Linked DNA regions of Drosophila melanogaster. The protein of the gene in region 1 interacts with the protein of each later gene in a pairwise test. Each region holds a gene or a part of one and is shown on either strand. Other genes may lie near its edges.

Evidence for each region.
Region 2: the proteins of Tsp97E (region 1) and FoxL1 interact in a two-hybrid assay, tested with the Drosophila melanogaster proteins (one large-scale study listed by BioGRID).
Region 3: the proteins of Tsp97E (region 1) and CG15545 interact in a two-hybrid assay, tested with the Drosophila melanogaster proteins (one large-scale study listed by BioGRID).
Region 4: the proteins of Tsp97E (region 1) and mRpS6 interact in a two-hybrid assay, tested with the Drosophila melanogaster proteins (one large-scale study listed by BioGRID).

The regions. Positions count from the first base shown.
Region 1 is NT_033777.3:26,959,114-26,968,429, forward strand, and holds Tsp97E (tetraspanin 97E), read right to left. Parts: upstream 5,705-9,316; 5' UTR 5,590-5,704; coding exon 5,530-5,589; intron 5,173-5,529; coding exon 5,005-5,172; intron 4,408-5,004; coding exon 4,045-4,407; intron 3,968-4,044; coding exon of another isoform or gene 3,893-3,967; exon of another isoform or gene 3,427-3,892; intron 3,339-3,426; coding exon 3,243-3,338; 3' UTR 1,951-3,242; downstream 1-1,950. Other genes in the region: Gr97a (gustatory receptor 97a), read right to left, coding at 6,031-6,264, 6,316-7,359; CG5521 (uncharacterized protein), read left to right, coding at 8,331-8,436.
Region 2 is NT_037436.4:4,014,714-4,022,686, reverse strand, and holds FoxL1 (forkhead box L1), read right to left. Parts: upstream 3,810-7,973; 5' UTR 3,594-3,809; coding exon 3,223-3,593; intron 2,291-3,222; coding exon 2,035-2,290; intron 1,979-2,034; coding exon 1,508-1,978; 3' UTR 1,408-1,507; downstream 1-1,407. Other genes in the region: Mul1 (mitochondrial E3 ubiquitin protein ligase 1), read right to left, coding at 134-341, 400-983, 1,048-1,152. UniProt on the Drosophila melanogaster protein: Transcription factor. Coordinates the placement and migration of various organs during embryogenesis, including the salivary glands, hemocytes, germ cells and Malpighian tubules.
Region 3 is NT_033777.3:30,869,325-30,876,135, reverse strand, and holds CG15545 (uncharacterized protein), read left to right. Parts: upstream 1-3,784; 5' UTR 3,785-3,855; coding exon 3,856-3,873; intron 3,874-3,936; coding exon 3,937-4,182; intron 4,183-4,265; coding exon 4,266-5,078; 3' UTR 5,079-5,197; downstream 5,198-6,811. Other genes in the region: CG15546 (uncharacterized protein), read left to right, coding at 2-1,234.
Region 4 is NT_037436.4:4,361,910-4,368,013, forward strand, and holds mRpS6 (mitochondrial ribosomal protein S6), read left to right. Parts: upstream 1-2,640; 5' UTR 2,641-2,676; exon of another isoform or gene 2,677-2,769; 5' UTR 2,770-2,791; coding exon 2,792-2,836; intron 2,837-2,902; coding exon 2,903-3,301; 3' UTR 3,302-3,334; downstream 3,335-6,104. Other genes in the region: Cip4 (Cdc42-interacting protein 4), read right to left, coding at 1,118-1,218, 1,839-1,953; CG33514 (uncharacterized protein), read left to right, coding at 3,587-3,891, 3,951-4,581; CG11342 (uncharacterized protein), read right to left, coding at 4,789-5,505.

The DNA.
Region 1 (9,316 bases):
CAGAAATGTAAAGGATTTTCTTAATGGAAATGCTGCTGAATACATTAGAATGATTTTCCCGAGTTGAAGGGTGCATAAATTCATTTAGATGTGTCAAAATAAACATGGTAATGTTTTTCAAATCAATATAAAATATTGTGCATACTTTTCTTTTTAGCCGAAACAATTAGATGCTTATTTTTCACATTCCCAAGGGTTAATGTTTTATGGGTGTTTACTAGAAAAACTTTTTGTTTAGATTTTCAGAAGCAATATCTTTTCAATGCCAAGGAATGTATGAGTCCAATTGGATGAAAATACTGTAAACAAGCCAATGAATTCTGTAAATTTTCCCTTCAGATGAGATCACATCAGTCCGGTGGTTTTAATTAAATGTAATCAATAGGCGGCTTGACTTTAACTTGACATTGACATTCAAATAAATTTCGCCTGTTCTCTATCGCATACAGTCCTATGTATATACCACACATTCGTGCCCCAAAACATCGCCATGGTTGACTGCGGCTCAGACGGAGATAATAAGTCCAACATGACACGACACCGACATGGGCAGTAAATTCGAATTACGAGCTACGGTGGGCGGAATGGACCCACCTCCAGCGAAGAAGAGGAAGAGCGATTGGTGCCAGTAAAACGGTGACTAAACGGTTCGCCTTCATGGATTTTCGACAATCGAGCGACGGCTCCGCTTCGAAGGAGCTAAAAAACGTTCATCTATTCAAGTGACAAGAAAGAAATCTTAATAGACATGCCCTGAAATTTCCATTCCACTGCATAATAATAATCATCAGTATTTTATGCCGTGAATCACATCGTTTTATATCTCATGGGGCACGCAATTGACAAGACATCGCTCATACGCAACGTTGGCTCAACAGTTGAGAACCCGGCATATGGTGGATTTAGGGATAAGGACCCAGCCCAGCCATTAGGAATTTTAATATCTGGCGCGTGTCAAGCACTACGAATATAAAAGGGTCAATCACATTTAGCTTAGGCAAAGGGATGTTTGGAAAACTAAAGTTTTCAAGCTGGTATGTCATATTGAAACCACATGTAAATGTTCATTTTGAGCGACATTTGTAGGACATCAAGGTATGCAATCGAATATATTATTTAAAATTTCAGCTTATTGGGCACACAAGCAGAGAAATGTACTATATTTTCATTTGTTGAATCGATATTTTTATTTTTAGTGTGCATTGCTTCTTATTCACTGGGTCCCTGCAGGATATTTCTCTCAAGAGCCTCCCACACAGACGTTCATTTCGTTGATCTGTTTGACAAATAAATACTGATGTTTCCCCACCTCGTTGACACGACACTTTGGATGAATTTTCCATTTCCATTTCACTTTGCAGGCAGGAAAATGTGACGAAGTCGCATCTGTTGTTGACCATTTCCGCAGCGAGTGTCAACAAAGCCTACCAAGAAATGAGACAAGCGTGTTTTTGGGGCGAGGAACTTGCGGCTGGGGCGAACCCGGCATACAGGATACCACCACGCCCACATTCCAACACGCAAAAGCGGAAACGCCGCCCCTGGATTTCCGCCCCCTGGACTGAGTGCTCGTTACGTAAGCGCACAGCTCTCTCTTCTCTTCTCATTGAGAGAAACAAATTTTCTGCATCGCAGTGCGTTGAACTTGGCCCAATTCAACGCAGCTTTGAGTGAGATTCTTCCCTGGCCATTTTCTCGTTGAGTGTGTGGGCCACCTTGCTCATTGGGCTCACCCCTCACTCCTGCCCAGAGAGGCGACAAACTAAGCGCTAGCGTTAATCTCCTCCAGCGCTTATGATGATTATGGCGTTCGGGCACGATTTGTGCTGTGGGTACAAATCGCTAGAAGCAGCTACAAAACATTTTGTAATATCAAATGGTTAAAAATTAAAATATTTTATAAACAAGAAACTTGACAAAATCAAAAACACAATTTACATAATATACAACATTTTATTGCTGCATGGGATATTTGTTAGTTTACATTCATTCAACAAAACATTGCATAAAAGTAGTAAATAAATCAAATTCAAAATTAATAGACAAATTAAGTTCAGCATAGGAACGAGTACGCCATATTAAATGGAAAACACCATCATACAAATTCCTATGCTTCCTCAACCTGAACAGCCCTCATCCATTCCGCCACCTTTTGTGGCAAGTAAGGATGCCTGTGGTAAGCCGAGACCCTTCGCTAATGATATCCCAACCGCGAATTCCCAAGTGGGAGTGTCGCTCATTAATTTGGTTTGGGGAAAGGCGGGAAATGAAACTCAAGACTCGCTTTCGTTTTGCTTATGTTGTTTTAAAGATCATATTTACTTCAATCACAGCACAGAATACAGAGAATATTATCTAATGGTTTACTTGTCGCTCGAAAGGAAACTGGAAAGGAAACTATTTTCATGTGAGTGTGAAGTGTGCGTAGAGGAGTAGCGTGTTGGGTGTGATGTGTTTCAATCTGTTTTTGACGGCTGGTGGCGCTTGGCGAGGGCAAAAGTCGAGAAGGATAAGCTGCAGAGAAAGTCGAGCTAGTGCGGAAAAGAAGTGAAAAATTCGAAGAAGCAGTTTTCTTATGTGTAGGGTTTTATCCATAAAGACTTGTATAATTGTTGACATGTATGTATAGAGGATTACTCTTTTTTTGTTATTTTGTGGGCATTTTTTCTCGCTAGTTTAAAGTTTAACACACAGCTAACATTTAGAGTATTGTTTATACGCCTTGAGGGCAATAATGCAATTACGTTTGTATATAGGTTGATGTATACTTATTACGTTGCTAGTTACAATTGTTGACTGGTTGTTAGTTCTACAGTAAGATCAGGTTGTTGAAATGTTTGTCTCGTAGTGGTACAGTAGTTTTGAGTGGAGGTCGAGTCACGTCGAGTCGTTCATGATTGTTGCGAGTTGCAAAGAAAGGCATTAAGAGCTAACTAAGGACTTTTAAACGGTTAAACTTAGATTACATTATTACATCTAAACATAATCTCAATGGAGGTTTTGTAATTAAATAACATTGTGCATTTATAGCATGTAGAATGGTAAAATAAAATTATCCTTAATAGCAGCAGCGTTGAGCACATGTATAACTCCTCCACCATCTCCTTCTCCTTCTATTAAGAGTAATCTTTTGTTCCAGTTTGGATTCGATTCTGGTTAGGAAACGCGATTGTAAGAATTAAAATTCAGCCTTCGTCCCTTTGACTAAAATGTTTCACTTCCTTGTTGTATTTTCAGCCTGTTCAATATAAATAATCGTGCGGAAAGACGGCGCGTGCGGGCAGATAGCAAGGATCATGTTGGTTGCGGTAGCGACGCGCCAGGAAAACAGCCAGGACCTGTGGAAGGAAGATCAATTAAACAGTGTTCAGCAGATATTATAGAATTTAAAAGAAAAACTAAAGCCAGCATATAAACAATTCTCACCCTTGGTCTCTAGTTGGTTTTTTGCTTAGTCAAAGAGTAGGCAGTCAGGTGTTAGTACAATTTTTTTTCGAAAGTGTTAAAGAAAGTGTGTTGAGAGTAAAGGGAAATATGTTTCTTAACTGATTGCTTGCTTTTTGGGTTAAACGCTTTGCTCTCTCCTTCTATATATATCTCTCTATAATATGTATATATGTCTAAAGTTGTATATCAATTACGAACTAACACATTACGTACATAGTTCTGCGGCAATGTGATTTAATATATATGTATGTATATATGTATATGTAGATGGTATAAATATAAAGGATGCTTGTATATGTATGGTATGTCGGCCCCAAGGGCCATGAAATCTTTCATCGCAACATTAAACATTTAGCAGAGACAGAGCAGATATACATGCACTAAAGAATTTTCGAATGTTTCTGTATCTGGAAAATGTTTATCTCTCTCTCGACTAGCTTCTAATTTAGAGAAAAGCGCTGGGCAAGCCCCGCGGATCCTTTTGATTGCGATAGCGAACTGTTAGCCAGACGCCGACGAACTAATTGCAGCATGTAGGGATTGATTTGATAGGAAATTTGATTACTTAAATCAGATATGCGTTTATTTGCGCATTACCTCAGTGAAGCTGAAGAAGATGCCCAGACCGCCGCACAACTTGAAGGCATAGTCGATCTTGTCCTCCAGTAGGGGTCCACATGGTTCGCAACGGCAGTCCGGCTCGGACGAGTGGGCACAGCACTGTTGATTGATCAGCTCGCACGAGGGCTCATTGGACGGGGGAACCACGGAAGTTGTGCTCGGTGCGGTGGCATTGAATCCGCAGCATTTCAGACTATCCTGCACTTGTTTGCGCAAATCCGTGGGCACCGTCATCCATCCTTGCTCGGCGAACTGCTGCTGCTGTTCGGAGTTGACGGCCAAGCAGGAACTGGCGATGGAGAACTGGATCAGGAACAGCATGAACAGAATGATCATGTACTGAAGCCGCGGAGAGTCTAAAGGTTAAGGCTAAACCGGGCAGTGCTTCTACAAAATATAACATTTGCTTTCCCATATTTCCACTGGGGGTCACGTTGTGATACCCTCCAGCTGACGTCATGGAAGCACAAAAAGCGAGGCGGCAGCTACAGCCACTGAGGCCCACTCATAATTTCAGTCATTACGGGCCCGCTTTCACTGCGGAAGTGGGTACTTGTCTAAGTACGCTAATTGTTCCACATGCCACGACCTTCGTGGTGGGCCGCAATAGCGGTCAGAACAATAGCAGCGCTAGGATATGAAAAAGGTCCTGCAATGAAGCTACCAACTATTTAGTGTTTTAAGCTTTAAAGAAATGATTGCAAGCAGTATCTTAGTTAGATCTCTGATTTTAACCTATTTGATGGTGATTGATGCTTTAGATCACTGCTTTCATATGCTTCATATTTTGAACGATTAACTATCATTTAAAGACCCTATTGATAATTTAATGCTATATTCTTGCGCTGCTATTTCATTGACCACGACTGTAGCTGCCTGCTATGTACATATGCATATACATATTGTAAATTGATAGGCTTTGAGGAAAAAGGATACGAAGAAGAGCATCACTTGGTGGTGCTTGACGGCTCCGGCGAGTCCCAGCATGGATATGCATATGAGGATGACACCGCAGGCCAGGATCCCGCCCACAATCGGCAGGTTGGTCACTATGGAGGCGGCACGCGCGTACACGCCCACTCCAATCAGCAGGAATCCAATCATCTGGGGGTCGCTCGCACACACACACACACAGGCAAAGCAAAAAAAAGGAAGAAAGAAAGGAGGCAAATGAAAAAGGACTCAAGGATTCTCGTCTTGAGGGCAGCAACAACAATTGGCGGAAAGGTATGTATACGCACACACACACGTGCAGATTGCACCTGGCACCGCAAAGGAAAATCAATACATATTTATGTACCGAAATGATACAAAATCAAATTATTCATTTTCCAATGTGGTTCTTGTTGTTGCTGCTGTTGCCGTTTATTCATTGTTACTCTTCCGTGTTTGTTGTTCCTGCTCTTGCCTTTGCACAACTGTTGTTGTTTTTCCTTTCATGTTGTTTGTGTTTGCGCTTACCACATACAAAATGTTGAGCGCAATTAGCGCGTTTTTCGAGCAGGTGAAACCGCCGCACATGATTTATGATTGTTTATTATTACTGGATTCTAAAGAAACTGCTTAAAAACGAATTTAGCTAATTGAATTTATTCCGTCTACAGAAGTTTTCACTTTCAATATAGATATCGATTTCGATATCGATAAGTTGTCCAGTAACTGAGTCGATTGATTTATTTCAGTGTTATCGGAATATTTGAAATCGCATTATGACTTTAAAGTATGCTCAAAAGACACAAAAACTAAATAATTCGTTACCAAATTAAATTTATTTTCTTAAAATTACGTTCTAAAACAAAATAATTGTTTTACACAAACATCAGTAGTAACGCGCATATGAGTCTTATCGATAAGATTTTTTTTTGACTCTGTGCTAAGGCGGTTTTTTCAAAAAGTTGTGCCCACATTTAAATCGCTGTGTTTTTAAATACTTTTTAATCTTGAAAGGTCATGCAAACCACATTATTTTAGAGAAAACCTTAATGTCAAATCACTTTGAATGAGAATCAGCAGGCTTCCAATAGCTGACGAGAATACCTTATTGACCAGCGAGGTATTCAGTTCCAGGAGGCCCAATGGCATAAGCTTGTAGTTGATGGTGACGACCTGCAGCCAGAAAGCATTCACCACTTGCTTGAAACGGGCATCGGCGTGCTGCAGATCGAATCGCTGCAATAGTTCTCCAGTTCTCCTGGTCTGCAAATAGTCGTTATAAGTATTTCAAAACTTTAATCATATGACAATCACCTCCACGAGGGTTTGGTTACTTATCCGAGCCACCATGACGAGTTCCAGGAAGGGAACAGCCAGAAATACGACCAGAACAATGGCCAGAAAGAGATCGAAAGGCTCCTCGTTGATGTAGTGATCCGCAATGGCCAGATACTGATTGTAGCATCCCATGGTGATACCGAGAAGGTTCATTAGCATCGATAGCACCATGGACCAGTCCGTGAACCGAAGGTAATTCTTTGAGCGGCTGGCAGTGAAGCCATATTTCCTAGCCAACTCATCCAGAAGATCGGCTAACTCGCAGAAGCGACGCATCCGGTAGTAGGGCTTATGGAGATTCATCTGGACAGGTGACTGCAGCATATTGGCCTCCTTGACAATGCCGTGCAGCTTACGATTCACCGCGGCAAATATCAAATTTGCAAGTACCAGGCCGCCGAAGAAGCAATTATTTATCTGATTGGAAACAATCAGTGGCAACATGGTCTTCGTGGTCGTTACACTCGTCCATTGACTTTCCGAAATGGAGCGTCTATGATATAGAATCAGCGTTATATAGGTGATAAGGGGACAGAACACGATCTTGAGCAAGCCATATATAAATGCCCGCCACACAATCATCGCCGAAATGTCCAGTGAATCGAGGACCTTGAAAAGAGGCACACTATTCTGAAACCGAATTATTTGCAGTGTTTTTTCCCATTGGGTCACATAGTTGAATAGGCAAACGCAGACGTTCATATAACAATATATTCCAATTGTATCGCGAAGATTGATCTGACCAGTGGAAATTTCATTATAAATATTCCAGATGTAAAACAGCGCAAAGAACGTGGCCACAAATAAGCTATAGATAGTGAGCCCTTTGGAAAACACAAACTTCTTGCGCCTGAAGGAAAAGCGGCCGAGATAAACGCCGTAAAGTATGTTAAGGAAAACGGTCGCGTAAAGACAAATCGTGACCAGTTGGGTATGGAGTTTTCCTCGCCGGAAACGAACGGGAAGGCTTCGCTGCCAGATGGAGCGGAGTCGACGTGTCTGCCTTCGCAGGAATCGCATTGTACTGAGGATGAATTGGGGATGAACTCAAGCTAGTCACTTTGGCCAAATGGCTACTTAATTACCAAGCTTCTTATCTGCGATTAAATAATATATTGGTTCAACGAATCACAGAAGTATTATGTGTGAAACACAGACATGCCAGTTAAGTGAGCCTCACATAAAAATTATATTGTTTGATATTTGATATTTTTAAAGCGTGAGATTTTAATATTGAATACCTTGACTATTTGTGTTGTTGTAATGAACTTAACTAGTAATGTTTTCAAAATAAAAACCACAATGATTTTATTTGTACGAAACTTGATTAAAGAACGTCTTCTTAGCTGTAATGTTAAGAAATTTGATAATTCGCACTATTTGAAATCAACGACTGGTTCATGGTGCGAACTAGTTCCGTGCAGTCAAGTTGAACCTGCCAGCACTGCTGCGAACCGGAACCACAGTCAGCGAACGGAACCTGAAAAGAACTGAAGACGCGACGCAAATGGAAAAGAAAACATAAACGCTGAAAGCTGGAAAAATGCGCTGTAAATCGCCAGCCGTTGGATTGCAAGTGCAAAAGCGCGTTGCCGAGTGTGCCCGTGAATAAATCGCAATGGAATAAGTTTAAGAAATTGCGATAAACAGCAGCGCAAAGCGACGAAACCCACACACACGCCCCCGCACCACCCCTCCGCGCGCCGAGCGGGCGTTGCTAAATAATTTCTCCGGGGCGCTCCGCTGGACAATAGGTGTTTTTTTCTTTGGTTTTTTTTCGTTGGCGTGCGCGTATAAATAAATAGCCGAAAGAGCCAGAGAAAAAACAAGGCAGAGAAAAAAAATCGGAGAAAAATCAGTACAAATCAGCGAATAGAAAGTGTATACCGCCTGCACTTGTGCCTGTATGTGCGTGAGTGTGTGTGCGAGTGTGAGTGAGCGAGTGTGTGTGATGTGTGTTAGTGCGCGGGGCGAAGAACACAAGGTGCAAAATGTTTACAAAAAAATCGCATGCCGACGTGAAGAAATCCACGGCCAAGTTGCAGGACTCCAAGAAGGATTCCGCCTCCCGACTGCGACACCTACGCATGATATTGGGTGAGTAGAACCTAAGGTATTCCCCTCCAGATCCGAACATATGCTAAGTAACTCACTTAAGCTAGGCATATTTTACAAACCCTTTTCGAAAGTATGTAACTATTTTCCAACCACTCACCGTGGATTTGCCCATTGAAACCAAGGTCTCGCGTTGGCGGTTCTGTTGACTGTTAATTATTTCATAATTTATTTGCATTCATAGCAATAACAATGAAACTGGTTGGCTTTATTTTTTATGCATATACTTTTTTTTCGGCTCGGTGGGCGTCGTTCGCACCATTTTCGTTCCACGGTGGCTCCGCTCTCAATGACGTTCTGCCCACAGGCCGCCAAACAACAACAGCGAAAAGTGGATCCACAGTGCTGGCCATTTCCTGTTGGGCACCAAAGAACCTCCACATATGCGATGTGTACCCCACATAAGCCCCCCATTCTTTCAGTGGAAAAACATTAATTTATGCAAAAACGGAAAAAAGATTACAGAAAAACATCTACACATGCTCCGCTATGTGGCAAGCGAAAATGTGTGAAACACGTTAAATGATAAAGAAGCGAACAAGTGAAGCTACAGTGTGAACTCGCTAGGTCGGACACAATTTACAAAAATACTCAGCTTGCTTTATTTGTTTATTTTCTGCTTATATCCGTACGTGTTTTACATTGAAAACAGTGACTAAACTTAGCTTATTCATTTGTAAATGAATCAAATCTCAAAAAAATATAATATATAATGAATGTCATTTAAATATGTTTTTACATTTTATGTAAATACACCCTTTAGTAGTCAAAACAGCAGGCACGGCATTCTTCTAATTTAAAACGAAATATAAGATGTTACTTAGGATAATGTTATCTTCTCTAATGAAACATGCTTACAACT
Region 2 (7,973 bases), on another chromosome or scaffold:
TATATTTCCCTTATCTTAATTTTGGTAAACTCATTAAATATCAATACAAGTAGAATAATTAAATTTCAAGATACGGATTCTCAGAGGATAGAATTATGTAAATTCGCAATAGGAATGCAAGGGTTATATTCACCTCCTTGGGATTGGTGGAGCACACCACGCAGAGTTGATCCTGGGACAGAGTGTGAGGACGACTCCTCGCCCTCCGCTCCCGACGCTCCGTATCCAGGCGTTCGCGAATTTTGGCCTCCTCCCGCTCCTGCTTTCGTTTTCGGTAGAGTTTCTTGGCAATGAAGGCAACCAGGATGGCAGAGATGGTGCTGCACACAACCAGCTTGAGTCTAGAAGGGATTAAGTAGAAAGTATTAAGAGTATACACCCAGAGTAAGCACCACCCACATCGTCGTTGTCTTGGCATCTTCGAACCGCTTAATAAGCGTGGACTTGGTGGCAGTGGTCAGGAAGAGCGGTCCCTCATTGGAGGGCTGCATGCGCAGAGTATCGCCATCCAACTCCAGTTCACCAATAGCGGTCAGGAAGCTGCCTTCTCTGAGCACCTCCTCCGTCGTTTGCAATCCCCTCTGACGGACGCCAGAGAAGAAACCAAACACATGGTCGAAGAGGGACAGATTGGAGGGCTCGTAGTTGTCGTAGACCACGTCCACGTCCAAGACGGCGGCACTCAAGGCGTCCACAATCTCCACACCATGGCTCTGGTTACGCAACTCGAAGGGCATCTCGTTGGCGGATTCGTGCAGCAACTTGTGTTGTTCCGTCCAGAAGCCGGCGAATCCGCGCGTTACCCTGTGCTCATGCAGCTTCACAATCTGCAGCACTCCACTCACACTGGGCACCAGGGAGCTCCTCAGTGGCACCCCGATGGGCGTCACTGTGCCCCGGATTACCGCATATGGTATCTTCTTGTCGCGCTGCCGCTCCACCACCGATTTTAGGTCTCCATCGATGTTGTATTGTGGTGCCGCCTGAAAAGCAGCAGTTCACTCAATAAACGCCACTTATTACGTGCATTAGTATTTCTATACGCACCTTCAGCACCTTGGCAGTTCGCTTGTAGTGCACGTACTCGCGCGCACACAGGCCAAGTATTAGCAGATCCACGCCCAGTGCAACGGATTCGTGTAAAAATTCCATTTTGTGTTATGCTATTTTATTTATATTACGCTACAAAAACATATGTTTACTCAGTGTTGCTGTGTTTCCCGCTGCTCGTAACGGCTACAAATACTAAATATTCACCCTGTTGAATGGAACTAGTTCAACGTATTAGTATATGCCATAGAGTGCAGGGTCACTCTAAAATACTACTTTCATATTTGAAATTTACCGCCAAAAAGAAGTTAGCTTAATTCAATTCAATTCTCAATTTGCAATTAGAAAACGGCCAATGCAAACCAATCTATATTTTAAAACTCCATCACTTTTATGTATTTTATGCAAGAATATTTATCACTAAATTAAGATAATTAAGCCAAAAGAGGTGCATTGCTTATGGCTTGCCAATGATATTGTCGATGGTAAACAGCGTGGTCTTTGATCGGTTGCTGCTGGCCACTGGACTGCTCCCAGGTGCATCCACCACATCCTTGATGCCATTAAAAGCTTCGGCAAGGACAGGTGCACCCGATGACGAGGTTTCCCGTCGATTGAGAGGAGGAGTAAAGGCGCTCGGCGAATGTAGCTCCTCGTGCAGTTCCATGGAACTTTGCATTGCTTTGCTGGAACTGGACGAGGCGTCCACATCGTCTGGGCATTCCCTGATCTCGGGCAGTGGTCGGAGTCCGCGGGCCTCGTTGTTGAACAGACTGTTGAAGCCCAGGGATACGGACAAGTACTGCCTGTGCAGATCCGTAATCCTGTCGGAGTAATTGGGCCGCTCGTTGCAGAAGATATCGAAGTCACTCAGCGGTTCGCTGGGCGAGCGAATCTCTGCTGCACTACTGTTGCCATCATTTGAATCCTGCAGATAAATTCATTTATTCGATTTGTTTATGAGTTTTTAGATGTGCATTATACCTTTCCCGATTCCCTCTCGTAGCGATTTGGATGGCCACAGTGCCTCTGCCTGCGCGTTCTCCTCCGGCGGTAGTTTCCCTGTTCGAACATGTCCGATGCCGATGAGTCCAGCATCCAGTAGCTTCCCTTCCCAGCACTGTCGTTATCCTCGATTGTGTTCTTGTCCCGCGGAATCTTCACGAAGCAGTCGTTGAGGGACAGATTGTGGCGAATGGAGTTCTGCCAGCCCTGCTTGTTCTCCCTGTAATATGGGAATCTAAAAAATAATTGGATATTATCCAATTAATTAATTAATTAGGAGCTATATTTCCTTGACATTTTTATCAAATTTTGAAAGGGTAAACATATATACTTTATTTTCAATAAATTAACAATGGAAAAGATATTTTATAAATATAAATCGAATGCGTGTTTATCAAAACTATTTACTTCAGAATTTCACAGCTTTGAATATCTGAATTTGTATATATAAAAATCATTTTACAATCTGAAAAACTTGCTGTTGATACACATCTTATTAGCCCATATCTATATCCTCCGCTGGTTTGTTTAAATCAAGCGATTTGAAAAAGCAATAAAAATAATATTTGTTTATGTTGATAAAGAAATCGGAAATATTTAGTTTACAAACACATTGTTCATTTTCCTGTTTTTCAAATTACTTGCGATCTATTTTATATATCTGGCCGCCATTTTTTATGCACTCTGTTCATTCAGGAAAGGAAATATATACATATATATTTTAATATTTGTTAAAGATATGACTAATAAATTTAAGCCAATAAATGAAACCATTTCATATGGATAATTACCAAGTAATCTGCGTGATATTTATATATTTTCACATTAAGAAATTGGATTAATGCTCCATATTTCACCGACTTAATCCCAGTTGTGGCAAAAGTTTCGTGATAAAAACTTCTTCTCGGGATAAAAACTTCTTTGGTTTGTACAGATACTTGGAATGTGGCGGTTGTTTATTTTGGCATTTGATTTAGCCAAGAATGTCATCTAAATTTTCCTCGATTTAAGACAAGGCGGAACATTTATTTTTGTAGGATTGTAAAAACAAGAGCTTTAGTAGAATATATGTACAGAAATTGGAAATTTTATTTGCTGATTTACAAACTAAATTCACTTATTGATCTATCAAAGATCTCGTATTTTTGTATTGTTCAATTAACTTACTTATCCATGATAAACTTGTAGATTCCACTGAGGGTCAGTCGCTGGTTGGGTGCACTGCTGATGGCCATGGCGATGAGGGCAATGTAGGAGAAAGGAGGCTTTTCCGGTCGATGGGAGTTGTGCAGAAAGGATATAGGCAATCCCCAGATGTTGTTGTGCAGGGCCAGAAAGCTATCGATGCCCTGGTAGTAGAAGGCCGGTGAAAACGATCCGCACATCAGACCCTCCATGCCCGCACCTCCGACGGCACTTGGAGCCAGCGGATTGGGTGACACCTGGGTCCTGAGATAATCCGGATTCGCTAGCATGGAGTTGACCAGCTCCTCATTATCCGGCAGCATCGATCCATTGGCATAGCAAGAGGGTAACATTTTTCAAAACGAAATCCCAGTAACTTGATTCAAAGTTCTTTTATACTCTTTATGTATCTTTCGGGAACTTTGTTTCGAATATCACTTCACATTAACTTGTTAGATATTTAGGATTTTTGTCCTGTTTTCCGGTTAGCTGTTACTTCCGATTTTGTGGGCGATTCGAGCGCGACTGTGGACCATGTGTTGCGTCAGCCAAGAAGTCCGATCGACTAATGAATGAACTCGGATACGCAGATCACTTGTAATGCCTCATCCCAATCTTATGGGTGTGTGTTTTTGGGGGAGAGCAGCGCATTGGTCTATAAATATAGGGATATGCAAACACCCTCACCAAAAGATCCACACATGCGTAAGTTCTCAGAGAGGGGAAAACAATTTTCCTTGAAAAATTTAAATTTTATTAAGGAAGAAATTGAATAAATTGAAATATGAAATAAGTATAATATATTTGAGATTATTATGTTATAATATAATAAGATGATGTTGTTAATATTTAAGTGTATTCAGTTATTAACTTTGTAGTACTAGATTTAGATTGATTATATCATTACTAATTAATATCCTTGCTTATACTATATCTTTTTCGCATATACCCGTTATATGGCAGATCTCTCTTTTGAGGGGGCGTTCCTACAAATATGTTCTCTACTCTTTCCATGTTTATTTATGTCCATTCTCATTTGCCTGTATTTTCCTCGATGGGCGGAGTCAAGACCTTTTCCCCATGTGTGAGTGAGTGTGGGAGAGTCCCAGTGTGTTTTGAATAATATGTAGATTTTGATTTTTCAACAAATGAAAATCGAGCAAAGTTTACACTTGAATTACGGGCACTTGAAAGGGAATTTTTAAATCTTTGGAAATAATGTAAAGCTTCTAGGATCTCATGCGTACATCGTTAGTCCCAGTTATTAAAAAAGATTATACTGCAGTATTATGATAGGTTACATATGTATGTATGTAATCATTGCGTGAGTTAGTCACTAATTTAGCCTTTTTCTGGCTTGAAAAAGTTCATTTAGATGTTTAATCATTTTATAACTTTCAAATCTCTTGATAGCACTCACTAAAGAGCTTTGATAACTCGTCAGTTCAATTGGTTTGTAAACATTATTTAAATAAAGCGATTCCAAGAAGCACTCCGTTTATACATTCCACCGGATAGCAGCTGGCAAGATAATGCCAGAAGTCGGCATTATCTGGTCCCTTGACATCCCATGCTATCTCGTGGCAGTTGCCTTCCGATTTTTACGACTTTTCCGAGCGAACGAAGGAAAGCGAGAGTAAACTCGCGGCAGTCAAGTACGCAATTTTCCGAATGCAACCGAAAGTCTTGGTCTATATCTTAAAAGGTCGTAAAACAATTGTGTATACATTTCAAACAGGACTACGCTCGATTTTTACGATCGTTCCGTTCTCAAGTAGAAAGCAGAGATCATTTGAAAGAAATAAAAACATTGAACGCAAATCGAAGAACTGAAAATCCAAAATGCCCGAAGCAATTGAAGTTCACATGTGTGGATGATGCCAATGCCACAAAGGATTCTTCACGCTCTCTCCCGATTTATTCAAATTTTACGATCGCTTACCGCTGGTGAGAATGGGTCATAAAACAATGGGTTATCCTATGGCCCATGGTCCTCCGATTCTCTCGAAGATGTCGCTGCCCTGCGTGTTTAGCTTGCTTATTTTTAGACCTATGCTGGGAATAGTATTGGAAACAAATATTGTTTTTTATGGCCCAGCTCGGTTTGGTCTGATTTCGTCTTCGAACACCGATCGATGTTTTTCGTTGTGAAACTATGTTTTCCTATGCATTTCACCGCATCTTTTTTGACATATCCCTCGCACTAAGCCATAAAACGCCTCGGATCCTGTTTATTTAGTCGCAGCGCAGCTCCCCAACCGCAACTTAATCGCTGTGTGTAATCGCGTAGTTATAGTTATAGTTTAGTGCGTGACTACCGGTGTTGTTGTTCACGTTGTCATCGCTTGATTTATGCTGTGAACTGCTTGCATTTAGCTGAGATACATTACAGTAGAGCCTCGAGAGAAAGCGACATGTTACATCGCTCGACTCTTTTGCATGTTAAGATACTCAAAGTTTAGTTACTTCAAATCCGCTGTGTTAAGATTGTTAGCCAAACTTAGGTACTTGGGTACTCCCCGTACAGTGCCTGTTTATGAAGCTCCACTGTAAGATTTTCAACTTCAGGCACACTTTGCGGCAAATACACTCGGAGTGCCGCCAGTCGACACCTTGTCAAAATTTGATTTAATCACTCGACACCACTGTGGCTTGCTCCCGAGATCAAAGACAACAAATCATCGATCAGCATGGATTTGTGGCTGTGCTCGACAAGCGGTGATTTGTCAAAAATCGATGGGGTGCCCCATGCCGCATGCCACATGCCCCATGAGCCTGCGTTTATTGGAAGGCATTAACATCTAGTAGAACCTATTTATAGTCGCCGTAAAATGCAGCACGGACTATTAAGAGGAGTAGATGCCGAGATGATGCCGCTGCCGTGTTGTTTGACAACAAATAGCGAGGACCGCAGAGAGAGCCGGGCCCCTTCGTTCCACATCATTGACAGCAAATTATCCACATTACCTGAATTGTCAGGACCCGCTCTTTGCCCATTAGCCATTACGGCGGTGTGAACGTGACCTTTGCCGGCCATTAAATGGCACACTCGGCGTCCCGGAATCGGAAATTTATGCGATTCTTGACACTAGTTGCATGGCACCAGCTACAGCTCCAGCTACAGCTCCAGCTCCATCTCCAGCATCCCCTTCCACCAATCTCTGCCAGCATCCTCGATGATAATGATGACTTTCGGAACGCCAGAAGATTTCTGAAATGAAATGCGTGAGCAATAAACTGGTTGTTGACCTGTGACGGCGGTAGTTTACTCCACCCTGCGCTCCTTATTTGTTGGTAACAGGTGTTGGACACTCGAGTAATCGCGGCCATTTCGATTCAGCTCCTTGGCCAAAAGGGTTGGTGTTAATTAATGGCGGGTTTGAAGTCGATAGCGGTAAGCGAAAACCATAATTTATTTAGCCATTGAGTTTGTTGGCAACTGCAATTGATTTGTGTTTTGCAGACTTGGGCGGTTTCTTGGTTTTTTTTTTTTAATGTTCGCTGAAGGAGTTAAAAGGTAAATATTCTTTGAAATCTTTAAATAACCAAGAATTTATATATATGTTTGAGAAAACAAGAATTAATTGTATCTAAAATATGAGATTACAAATTGCCCAACTTTAATTCACTCGAATAACTCGAATCATTTGTAGCATTTCCCGCCTGACAGCACCTCATTTGCACTTGAAAAACCTATAAATTGAGTGATAACTTCGCCTTCGCAGCTATTTGGCATCTTCAAAAAGAGCAATCTATACACAAATCGAGAATGGCTGGCTTTCGAGTGGCCCCCAAACCACGGGAATCTCGTGGATTATTATTTCGTATTACTCATATTGATTTCCAGCCGCAGGAAAAGTTTTCTTCGATTTTCTAGGCGGATTGAGGTGGCTGGAGTCGGTCGGAAAAGCCAAGCTGGGCGGATGTTTTTGGTGAGGCGGGGTGTGGAAAACAAAAAAACATAAACCAAGCACTCACATTGATTGGTTTCCCGGCCAAAATGAATCAAGTGGAAATGGAAATGTGAATGAATTTCGCACGTTTTAAGTGCCAAATTATCGGCTACTCAACCGGGCAAACGTAAAGGAATATCAAACAGTTTTGCTGCACAGGTTTAACAACAATAAACTTTCAACAGCAGCGCAATGGATGTTTGTTTATTTGTTTAAATTTAGAATATCGACCACATTAAAATAGCAACAGCTTCAAAAAGCCTCTCAAGTGGCCGTGCGGCCCATTAAACAGATTTCCAAGATGTATTACGGCCAAAAGCGAAACCGAAGCCCCATCTTTCCCCCATTTTCATCCATTTTCCCCCAACTTTTCCATTTTCACGGCCCTGTTGTTCAGTTATAAAGAGGTATATATGTACATACGTACATGCATGTTGCGGTTGACCCCGCGGGTAATTCGCACTTCAAAGCGAGCCCCATGCAATCTGTTTATGCCATCAAGTGGGCCAGCTGGTGGCCCCCGAAAAGATCTATGGCATTTATGAGTAAGTGTGGACTACCACGGGGTATTCCTCGAGTGCCATGTGCTAATGAGCCGCCGATTCCGTGGACTCCATTCCACTCACCTCTCTCCAGTCCACCGCCTAATTATCTCACATTATCCAGGGAGCTAAGTGAAATAATCTGTGGCAAGTCTGTCTACGCACCTGACAGGATGCCAATGGGCATTATTACCTTCTATTGCGATTCCATCATCGATCCTTGTCGCCGGCATAAAGC
Region 3 (6,811 bases), 3.9 Mb from region 1:
CATGCTGAACGGAAAATTCTACACGGGCTTGCCGCCCAAAATGGTGGAGCGCCAGGCGGTGAAGGTGTGCAATCGCCAGGAGTCGCACTTCTTCTGGCCAGACGATTCCCGAGCGGATTCCGCGGTGGAAACCCGAGCAAAGAGGAGAAACAGCCAGCAGCTGGAGAGGCCTGTGGAAAGGATTACTTCCAATCAGAATGTATCCGACGAAGTGGACACACGGCGAATGTTTCACAAGGAGTTTGCCAGTTCTTCCATACAGTTCTATGATAATCTGCAGTCTAATCCTGGAAATAAACCTTCATTGGCAAGGGGTCTACGCAGAGAAATAACCCCAAAACTAACCGAAGTGAGACCGCAGGAATCGGATAACAAAGCTGAGGACACCAGCAGCCGTCGCCAGCAGGCTTACAGCTCCAAGATCCAGTTCTACGATTATGTAAACGAAGCAGATAACCTAACTCAAAATAACGCCAGGAGACCACAAATGGACTTGAATGACAAGCGCGAAGTGGAACTGAATTCCAAGAACAGTCCCAAGCTGCAGGTCAAAAGAAATGTGCGCAGTTTCAGCGTGGAACTGGAGCCCAAGGTCACCAAGAAACCCCTGAACGACAGTCCCGAGTGGCGGCGGCCACGCCCACTGCCCCTGCCCAAAAGGATACTGAAGCAAACGTCACAGGATCAGGACCCGTACGACCATCTGGAAAGTCGAGTCCGAAGATTGCAACTAACCCGAAGTCCCGGACTGCCCAAAAAGCATGTGACCTACAACGAGGAGGCTGCCGAGTACGCCTACTACGATGATCGGGTGGATCGCGATGATCGGGAGGATCGCGAGGATCGTGAGGAGCCCACCTACGAAACTCGCTACCGTCAGCAGCCAAATATGCCGACAGGAAGTCGCCAGCAGCAGCAGCAGCAGCAACATCAACGCTCTTTTATGGAAACTAGTCGGAGCAAGCCATTAAATAATAATAATAATTATCAGGCCAACGGCAATGGTAGGAAAATCTTTCCAAAAATGCCACAGACCCAATCCGGAGTGGGTAACACACACACTATCGACGAAGATCCCCCCGTGCCCTCTGACCCTCGCAAACACCTGCGCAGCAGCCTCTGCTTCAGCGGCGACGCTTTGATGGTGGGCGGTACGGCGTCGCAGTCGCCGCCCACTGCGCAGGCGCGTCGCAGCTCAGCGGGGCAGAGAGTGAGCGTGGGTCTGCCGGACTGAGGGCTCCAGTTCGCGTGTTCAGTGATTAGTGCAGCTACACAGTGAGAAATGCAAGTGCAAAAACATATAACTGAAGCGATGAAGAAGATCATACAAGAATATCTGCTTGACAATCATTAGGATGAAATAGTATTACAAATATTTCTCTATGTAGTAAGTCGACAGCAACAATCTGCATTGCTAATTGAAAGCCAACAGCGACTGCAACAGAAGCAGCAACAACATCTGCAGCACAACAGCCACATCAGCAGCAAGTTGATGCGACAGCAGCAGCTCAACCTTTTTTTAGTTTTTACTTTTACGATCCCATACAAACTCTGAATTCACCCACATGCGAATGAATGAGTCGGCTTTTTTGTTGTTTTCGAGCGGTTGAATATACATACATAAACAAACCTTGATCTTGACTAATTTGTCGGCGATGCTGTTGTTGTGCACCACGATCATGTATTAATTTAGCTTTTAAAGCCAACGCAGAAAAATCTATAATTATAATGATAGAGATATGCTAATAAACTAATACATATATAACCAAATAAATTTCGAATCGGGAAATATTCAATTAAGCCTTAAAAACCTACTATAGGCACAGAAAAATATACATGGGCACTTAATCAATTCGTTTGGTATTCAGTTTTCAAACTAATAATGAAAGAGAGTGAAGTTCAAGTTGTTATATATTTATATCGAGGTAATCGAAAGCAGGCGCACATTGAACTTGGAAAGGCTTGCCATGAATACAACGCAGCTATTCATTGTGTGCATTGTGTGAATAGAAACTTATTCATACCTCAAGCTCACTGATGGGCCTGTAATCTGTTTGGCAATATTATGAATCGATCTAGTATGTAATTCATAGACCGTAATGTAATTCGAGGCACCCTTTCGCGCGGCTTTTCTTTATCGACTCATTTGAAATTCCCAACAATTTGCTAGTCTGGCAATCAAGTCCGTTGCTCTGGGCAGCTCACCTGGCCAGCCCATTTTGGGGCTGGGGCTGGGGCATTCGCAGGTCCCTGCCCCTAGCTCCTTTCACAAAACTTTCAGAAAGAAAGAGCCATTGAGGTGGCATTGTTAGGAGCCAGCGGAAATCCAACCAAGCTTGCAGTCAAGTTGAAGTCCAAGTGCCAGTTTAAATCGCGACTGGTGGGGTTTCCGAGCGGTTTCACAAGGAAACGGGGCATTATGCGGCGTTGCAACCAATTGTCACGCGTGTTGAACTTGAGCTTGACCTTGTCTTGGAACGGGGTGTGGAATCCAACCACCCATTGTCCAGCCAGCAAATTGCAACAAGTGCGGCAATTATCCAACATATGCCACGGGGCTGCAATCAAGGCGGCATTAGCCGGGAATTTAATTAAGGCATCGCTTTAATTGCCGACAATCTGCAGCTGCCATGGGAACCCAATTCAAAATCCAGAGACAGGATAAGCGTGCAAAATAATTGTGCAAATGAAGCGTGGTGAAATGTTACGCAACTCCCTGTCCATATCCACTGCCATTTCTCAAACCATTTCTTCGTCCATTTCCATTTCCACATCCACATCCACTTCCACCAACTCCGGGACAAGACAAACTGCTCAACCTCCGCTCATGTACGTCCATACGGCATACATCTTCCGCATTTCGATCGCGCATCCTGGCCGATAGAAAGTAGTCCAAGCGTGCCGGCAAAAAAGGCGAAAGGGGCCAAAAAGCAGCGCCAGCTGGCTAACATTTCCTGGCTCGACTTGGCCCCGACTGAACCTGAACTTCGGGCCAAATGCGGAGAGAAGAAAAGTGCAGCGTTTATTGGGTAATACTCGTGGAAACCCGTTTGCCGCAAGACTGATTTAAAAAAGTCGATAGGATAGGTGGTTCTTCTGCTTTTTAGTGGGTGGGTGGCTCGTGCCGGTCGACGTCATACACATTAAAAAATTGTTGGTGTAAAGTGAGCGATTGTAATAGTTAAATATTTAATGGAACGTAGATATATTACCATTTTCGATTATGATTGTTATGATTATTAATTAGCAATTGTAAGTTTGTTACTATCGAATAAAGGCATTCCTTTTAGTTAGCTGTATATTAACAAGTTTGAGGTCAAATTACGCTACTCAAAAAAGCCATCAATCTTTGCCTATTAACTATATTGTCGTACATTTTGCATATCTAATTTGCTTACTTTCCTATTAAGTCACATACCACAACCTAAGCCCCCTCCACAGTTACAACTTCGAAGAAGTAAATGGCCATCGTTATGTGTAATTACGGCCATAAAGAAACATTTTATTTATGCCCCCTGCCCCATCCGATAAGTTGGCGCTCTATTTCCTAGTGGAAATGCAAATAATGCCTCACTTTGCGCGCGGTAAACTCTTTTTTTTTACTCCATGTTGTTGTGAGTAGTAAGTCCATGCGTGAAGCGGAGATTTCGATCTGCTACTGACTAGCTGCTCACCTGGCAGGTTTCAATTGCGATTGCCATTGCGAAACATGTTGCAGCAGGTTCGAGGAAGCTAGCATAAAACTGTTGCGTCCGTTGGCCGAACTTTCAGTTTCGTTGGGGCCACGCTGGTGGTTAATACCATTGAAGAGAGTTTTCACAAGACGCAATCACCCCGAAAAAGCCGCCACCCAAAATGAAAGTGTGCTGGAATGTAAGCTGTTGCATCCGCAATCGTAGATTCACAATTAACATGAAATGGATACTATCTCCTTAGTTCTTTGCTGCGGCGGTGCTGTTAGTGACGGTCACCTCGGGGCTGAGACCCCCACGATCCTACTATCGGAGGAGCTACTTCAGTGCAGTGGGTTCAGGATCTGGGCACGCACCCAGCTCTCTGCCAGGACCAGTGAGAATAGGACCCGCTAGTTACTTCCGTGCCGATCTGCAAACAAATGAGAGCAAGCACCGGCCACTGAGCAAAAAGTATCCCAAGAAGAGCCACTACAGACCCTACGGATCGGTAAGTTGGCCTAACAAATAAGATATCAAATAATAGGAAAGATCTAAAAGCCCGAAATAATACAATATTCCCCTAAAATATAGCAAGAGGAAGAGGACGAACAACGCTACAATTCCGCGGAATATTCAGGAGAGTCCTCCGTTCAGGATAGTCGGGAATACACGATTGGCACCCAAATTCGCGTCCAGCATCCCATAACCGTGCCCAAGAAGTCCAGTTCCGGCTACCAGAAGCAGCCAAAATATGTGACGGCCATTCCATACAAGGCATCTGGTTATGGATCCGATATCCACAAGCCCTCCGGTTATGGATCCGATGTTCATATTGGATCTGGAGAGGATGTTGGACCTCCTCCGAAAAGATCGAAGTGGACCCCAGTGCAATACGAATCGGAAGCCGATCCCTTCCATCTAGTGCCACCTCCAAAGGCAACCGTCGCCTCCAGCAGCAACTCATATAGTGTTTATGAGCCCGAACACGATGACTACGAGGTGGTTCCAGTGCCCCGACCAAAAAGCCACGATCGCTACAAAAGCGTCGCCTCCAAGAAACAAGTAGAGGCCTACCTAGAGGATCAGCAGAAGCTGCTCGACGAGGCCATCAAAGTTCAGCTTTTGAACAATCCGAAGCTGCAAAAATTCTTCAAGGCCCAGGCGCAGGAACAGGAGCGGGAATCGCGGCCAGACCTCGAAATCGAGGATTTTGAGGCCTATCCGCCCAACTTTTCGGGGCCCGGACACCTGCGCAACAAGTACATCGAACACCCACCATCTTCTCCGCCGAAGGGATCTCGATCACGCCGGCGTCCTCCAAGTGGAGATCTTAACCGACCACCCAAGACCATCATCAAACCGAAAAGGAAATACCGATCCACAGCACTGGTCATCAATGTGTGAGAGGGATTACTAAGTCCTGACTTAATCGTTAATTAAAATATCGTTTATAAATACTTAGAGTAGTCTTGTTGTACAGAGTATTTTTAAGTAATAAAAGACCATTTATTTTAAATGCCCCTATTTAAATGACTTTATCTTGGAAGTTTGGTGTTGATATGAAAGAAAATTATGGATATATTTTGATGCATTTAATTTATAATTTACGAATTTTAACATACGAGTTATTTGGCGCTTAGGAGCAGTTAAGCATAAATAGTTGTATATTTTATAAAGTGTTTTAATATACTTTTCTGTTGTATCTATCAAGAGAACGGTGGCGGTCTCTATCGGTTTTTGAAAGAAGTATAGAGTCTCGGTTCTTGTCTCAGCTAAATGTATGGTGTCCCGGCTTTTCTACCATTTCATGAGGAGAATTCGTCACCAAAGTGAATCCGATAAGGAGTGTTGCTGGCTTATTTGCTTAAAAAAAAAAAGATTATATCACTTAACTCAATTGCAAATAACCTTTCAATTTAATGATGTTTTCAAGTTTATAATACGCCACTTTAATTAAATATATTAATTACTCATCAATTTAATTGGATTCTGTATTCGTCACACCCACATCGCCATAATTGGAGTGAGTTCCACATTTCACGACAAATTCTGGCGACGTTTACCTTTTTAAAAATAAACGCAGTCAATCATAAACGTGTGTTGTTCATAAAAATAGACGTATTAAGAACACTTTGGAAGCAACACACCCATGAGACACCTGTTTCGATCCCAGGCAAATTCTCGACTCTTACCTCTTTCGCAAATCCGAACGAAAATCCGCAATTGAGCAAGCCAATTCAATCGATTGCGATTGCCGCAAAAGTGGGTGCACAAAGGCACGCGGAGAAGAAATCATAAAAAGCAATAAGTAGCAAAAAACAAAACCGAATTGATTTTCTTAATTGACTAAACAGTTTCAACAGAAGCCAGACCCCAAAGCCAGGCAAAGCAAAAATCCAAACTCCAAGCCGGACCCTCGAGTCCACAACAAATCTGACCTTGAAAGCTAAGCTCTGAAAAGTGTTGCTAATATTGTTAATGTAATCGTTGTCGGTGGTGAAAAGGAATGCCAACCAATGGATGTGGAAAGTACAGAGGGAAAAATGCTAAAAATAAAGACAACAATAAAATGCTAGCACTAAAAATATTTAAAAAATAAGTAAAAATGGAATCATGAATAAAATATAGTCAAATTAGAATAGATTTTGAGAGATATTGAATGAAATCAATTATTTCAGCATGCCCTGAATTAATTTATTATTTCCGAAGTAAATATATAGGTATAAGTGCAATTAAATAATAGAATAGCAATCGGTGCTCGAATTAAGTTGTAAACTATAACACACATATGCTGAGAACTCAGCAGGTGAGAGGAAATAGCAAATTAGCTGGCGGCATTCTTGCGTTCGATGGTGCATAAAATATGCAAAACATTTGGATGTTATTAAGTTGCACTAACGCAACTGGAGCCTGACGGATCGCAATACCATTGGGAATTGATTTAGAGCCCCAATCCCCTAATGAACCAGTGCCACCCCCACTTGCACATGGTTTTCCGGCTTAGCCAGCACCAGCACACCAGGCTGATTTCATTTTCATCGGAATTTTGCACAATTGGCCAAGATTACTGTCAAATGAGCGAAACCCGTTTGAGGTCTTTCCTTGTTGGCCGCATAGAATCGTAACAGAAACTCGAA
Region 4 (6,104 bases), on another chromosome or scaffold:
ATTTTCTTGAGCTTGGAGAGTGTTGATAAACATACATACATTTTTTTGCATATATATTATATTGCAATATAAAATATTTTCCATGAAATGAAACAATGATTAAGAAAAATTGATGTTACAATTCATGAATGATTAACACTATGGATATATTGAAAATGTATGTAAATATGTAAATAACTGTTCTTTTGTAAGTAACTGTGCTTTTGGCGCCACATCTTACAATTATTACATATGTACATATGTACAAATTTAGTTTTAATAGGTGAAAAATCGAAAAAACCATTTTTAAGAGGTGGGCAAACGAAAAAAACAAATTTTAAAGGGTGGGCAAACGTTAAAAATGAATTTTAAAGGATGGGCAAACGAAATTATTTAGTTTTAAAAGGTGGGCAATCGAAATTATTTATTTTTAAATGGTGGGAAAACGTTTTTTATTGAAAAGTTTTATTTTGAAGAGGTGGGCTAACGAAATTAGTTGTATTTCAAGTGTGGGCAATCGAAAAAAAATTTTTGTTAAAGGTTTTTTAAAGGGTGGGCAAACGATAAAAACTAATAATAATGGTTGGGCAAACGTTTTTTGTTGATAATATTTGGTTTTAAGAGATGGGCAAACGATTTACTCTCTGATTAGACCGAGGTAAACTTAAAAGCCTTATATTTTCTAAAGTATAAATTTTTTCAAAATTCTAAAGGGTGGGCAAACGTGGGCAAACGATGTTATTGCGATTTAAAAAAAAAAAATTTGAAAAAAGCGAAATTTTTGATTTTCGAAAATTTTCGAACTTTTTCGAAAATTCATATCTCAAAAACTGGACGTGGGCAAAAAAAACTAATTGGTGGGCAAACATGGGCAAAAAATGGGCAAACGATTCCAGCTTTCAAATTTCAAAAATTCGATTTTTCCGACCCCAGCTTCTTTGAGCTGGTAATGGACACCTTAATGATTCTGATCAAGCTAAACTACGAATTTGTTTTGATTTTTAGCTATAGGTATACATTCATACTCCTCAAACAAGCAGAACTATGTATTTGTTGCTTATAGGAACCCCCTGTTTTATCAATGAAATACGACTTCTTATCTGAAGATATAGCCCCTCTAAATCCAGGAAAAACTCACCCATAGCTCGGTGCCCCAACTCATGTTGTTGGAGTTTTGCGCTGAGTTTTCCGATTCGGCCAGTTTGTTGTTGCTGCTGCTTCTGCTCGATCCGCTTGCCACTGTATTTGTTGTTGCCGTCGTTGTTGTTGTTGTTTTAATAATAATAATCCACAGAAGATAATGTAATCCACAGACGATGAGGAGAGAGGGAGAAAGGTAGAAAGCGAGGGAGAAGAGCAAAAGATGAGAACTTTTATTCGTTTTTGTTTTATATTTTCCCGCAAAGGTTAATTAATTTTATGGCTGCTTTTTCGTTTTCATTTTCCGTTTGTTTTTCTATATTTTTTTCAGCGTTGCGCGGCGCGATGTTTAATTTTCTATGAAAGAGAGCAATTCGAGTCAGATATATTTCATTTTTGTTTTTTTTTTTTTCGGTGGTTGGGCAGGTAAGAAAGCATGTAAAAACAAAAAAGAGTGGCAATGCAGACGTGTCAGTTGCAGCGGCAGGTAGAAAAATGAAGTTGAAGGAAATTATAGATAATGAGAATTTAAACACTTTTTTTGGGAGTTGTTTAGTGATAAGTGCAAAATAAGAAAATTCTATGCACTGGCATTTCGATGCGCAAAGAGAGTGAGGAGAGAGAGGGAGCGATAGAGATAGAGAGCGATGCAACTGCATTTCATAATTGAGAAAAGCAGAAAGAGAGGACAATTGGAATTCTACTATTGTTGTATTTACATAATTTCGCACACACACGCACACAAGTAAACGCAATTGCCGAATGCACGCACTCTGCTTCTAGATCTGCCACCGTTTTTTTTTTTGTTATTTGTGCTAACTTTTTTTTTAGCATTTGCTTTGCAGTTGCAACTTCTTTCGATTTTGGGTTTTATTTAGCGCCTGCACTTTCGCATGCGTCATAATTCGGGCGACATTTGCACACACACACAAGCACACAGTTAAAACACCCGCACTCACACAACGCAAGCATTTGTTTCTCCTTTTTGGCGTGCGAAAAAACAATTTTATCCGCTCGCAACTTTCCGCTCGTTTTTTCACTTCGGCATCAATACACAGTGTGACCGCAATGTGTTTGAATAGGCACACCTCTGCGTTTGCAGTGTGACCAGAGACCGATGGCGACCTAATTTCTAACTCTTTAACATCTAGCGGGGATATGAACCCATATTGAGAGCAACTGTAAAGTTTAATTATTATTATATAAAATATATGAAACTTTCGTTAATACGTGCCCCCATTTTTTTTTATAATTTAACGTTAATTGTAGACTTTTTAAATATATTATTGTGGCCTTGAAAACTAATAATTTTATGGAATAACATAACGTTGAAACAGATGAAGAAAGCTATTATTGAGCTTGGAAGAAACTTCTTATTATTGTTTATTGCTTTTAAAGTAACAAGAGCATCGCTTATTGTTGTATATAATATATTAATTTGAACATTAAATTCACTGGAGCAATAGATTTTGGCACACTGTAAGGTGTAAGCATGTGCGCCAGGCGCTAGATCATTTTTAGTACTTTCCTTGCATCAGCTGTTAACACTATCAGCTGGTGGGTCAACAATTACATTAGATTTACTAACTTTTTAATGAATTAAAACTTGAGAGAAACAACGTTAATATAAGAAATTAAATTCCTTACCAGCTCATACAATTCACCGGTCACAATGCCTTCTTACGAACTAGCACTGGTGCTCCGCCAATTGCCTCGCGTGAGTAGCACATGAAATCCACCGGCAGTTACATAAAAGTAAATAAGAATTGTACACCGCCCGCAGCCCGAACTGATTTCCGTGATTAGGCGAACGGCCGAGTCCATCCTGGACAAGGGCGGCATTATCCGGAAGCTGGAGAACCTGGGATCCCGCGCCCTGCCCCACAAAGTCAGCGAACACGGGGTGGTTCACCGGGAAGGCACCCACTTCACCATCGCCTTTGATACGGCGCCCACTAAGATCGCAGACTTGAAGGAGGAGTTTGGCCGCGACATCGACATCATACGGCGCTACATCTTCAAGGTGGAGGAGCCCGAGCAGAAGCCCTGCACGCTGCACGAGGAGATGCTGCCACCCGCGTATCGCAAGGATGTGCAGGAGATCATTGCGGCCGCCCAGAAGAAGCAAAAGAAGAAGTTCAACTACAACTCCGGCCTGGACTACTATCCCTTCCAAAAATAAAACACCAAATAAAACGCGTTAATTATGTATGCTAAAACCGGTTGTGGGTTCCTCGATCTTTGGCTAATTCAAACTGAAGCATTCCTTATGAAATGCGCCTGTTATCTTAGTACTTTTCACAATGTTTGTCTTTGTTTGGTTTATGGCGCCCAATCGGACGCTTATCAATTAATTGATAAAGCTCCGTATAATCGACCATCAATAGAACGTAAATTGTCCAGGTAGTGCCTCAAGAATCGTCGAGCAGTTCACTAGTACTTCCTCCTGACCGCAAACGACCTAGAAATGTCACCGCAAATCCGTCCACTTACGCCAGAGCTGCAAAAAGTTGCCAAGGAGCAGCTCAAGGAGGATCCCGAACGTCTCGAAGCCGATCTGCAGGCGTTTAAGACATGGATCGAGCAGCAGCCGCATCTAAATCCCCGAATGGATGATCAGTTTCTGGTGGCTTTCTTGCGCGGCTGCAAGTACAGTTTGGAGCGGGCCAAGTCCAAGTTAGATAAGTACTACACGCTGAAGACCAAGTATCCGGACTATTTCCGAGTTACCAACACCACGGATAGCAAGTTCCGGGAGATTCATCAAACGGGGTAAGGATTTTGACGCCAGCTAACTAATTTAATTTATCAATGCAATTCTGTCAATTCAGTGCCATCATCTACCTGCCCACTCCGCTGAATGAAAATGGACCTCGCATCGGGATCTGGCGCATGGGATTGGTGCCAGTGGAGAAGTACACAATGCTGGAGTGCATGCAAGTGGCCCAGGCAATGCAGGAGATTGCCATTTTGGAGGACGACTACGCCAATGTCAATGGAGTAGTTTTCATTATGGACATGAAGGGTGCCACCGCCGCACACTTGTTCCAGATGACGCCGTCGATGGCCAAGAAATTCACTGTCTTCTCGGAGGAGGCACTTCCACTGCGTCTGAAGGCACAGCATTTCATCAACACCATCACCGGATTCGAGCAGCTGTTCAACATGTTCAAGCCAATGATGTCCAAGAAAATGCAGTCTCGCCTATTTGTGCACGGCAACAAAATGGGGCTCTTGACGGAGCAGATTCCACTGAAATATCTGCCCGAGGAATACGGCGGCGAGAATGGCACCACGCAGGACATCGTGGCCGCCATGGAGAAGAAGTTGGACGAGTACGCCGATTTCTTCCAGGAAAATGTGAACTTCGGCACCGACGAGAGCCTGCGTCCCGGAAAACCAATCGATTTTGAGGGGCTTTTCGGAGTAGAAGGTTCCTTTAGAAAGCTCAACGTGGACTAGTTTCAGTTTGTAACTTTAAAGATTTTATTTTCTTATCAGCCAGTTGAAAAAGTTGTCCAATTTAGTGGCTAGAAAACACATTCGCATCAGTTGAATTGTAAAATCCAATAGTAGGAATGATAATATAGGAATACATGAATATGCTACGATACTTCGCAGCAGTTTTAGGTTTCTCCTATATAAACATTGTCCTTTTAGCTTTTATTATCATCTGTAGAAGCAGATCTTTCGCTGCCATTTAGTTGGTGCGGATTTGAATATCTTTCTTCGGTCCAAAGACTCTTCCAGGTACTTTTGTATCTGAAGATCCACATCAGATCGCCACTTAAGTTCCAGGAAAAGAGGGAATATCTCTCCGGCTTTTTTCAGGCGTCTCTCTGCTTTCTGATAGCATTTCCAGGGCTGTGGTTCCACCACCAGGAGCTCTGCCAGATTGGAGAGCTTTTGCAGAAAGAATCGCAGGCCTTGATCATGGTGATTCAAGTGAATCCACATGGTAATGGAGTAGCAGCAAATGGCATCAAATTTCTCGAGATTATTCACCTCCATATAGGTTTTAACGGATTCAAAGGCTTCATCATCGAGGACATCCACGCAGGCGTAGCTCACATCTTTCGGGGATTCATTCTCCTCGCTGGCACGTTGAATCAGCCGAGGGTCTATATCCACACCTAGAACTTTCACAGATCTATGAAGACGTTCCTCCAGATATTTATGCATGAGTTGAGTGAGTACGCCGCAATTGCAGCCCACATCCAGGATGAAATAGGGTTTATCCTTTTGGGTTTCTCCATCCTCCAACGCAGGAAGCCATATGTCCGCGTCTGGTAAGAGTTTCACGCGTTCTGCGGCGGAACTGAACTGATAGTAGTTGAAGAAGTTGCCATATTGAACCGCGCCGGGATCGTTGTTTCTAATATCCATATTTTATAAGATTCGTGTTTTTATTTGTTTTGATTTCACAGAAACATGCTGCTAGAGATGGTCGTTGAGACGATATATCATATTTAAATGCACAACAAAGTTAACATGCCATCTCTAGCAGCGCTGTTAAGTGAGTTAACATCTACAATTTTCACAAGGCCAGTGTTAAAAGGTGCAGTTTAAGAAAACCGCCAAATTCAAACTGCATCTCCAAATAAAACTCACATGCATTTTCATCATTTTTGCGTTTATTTACTGCGTTCTTTGTTTATATTTGTCGAAACGCCTCTTGCTATCTGCTTATACGGCTCTAACACTTACACTTAAAAATCGTTAACACTTGCTCTTTGGTGTGTAAATTAGTTTCAAACTATAACTAAATGTACAAAATATCGTCAATGAAATGTACAATACAACAACAAAATATACACAATGTTTCGTCTTCGAATTCGTTCGGTATTTTCGCATTTGGCATGTTTGTGGCTAAGATATCATCAATTCAACACAATGATCAACAATATTCAACGACAAACACTCGACTTGGGACCCTGGATGCTTCATCGGCGGCGCTCGGGAAACTGAATTTGACCCACTAAGGG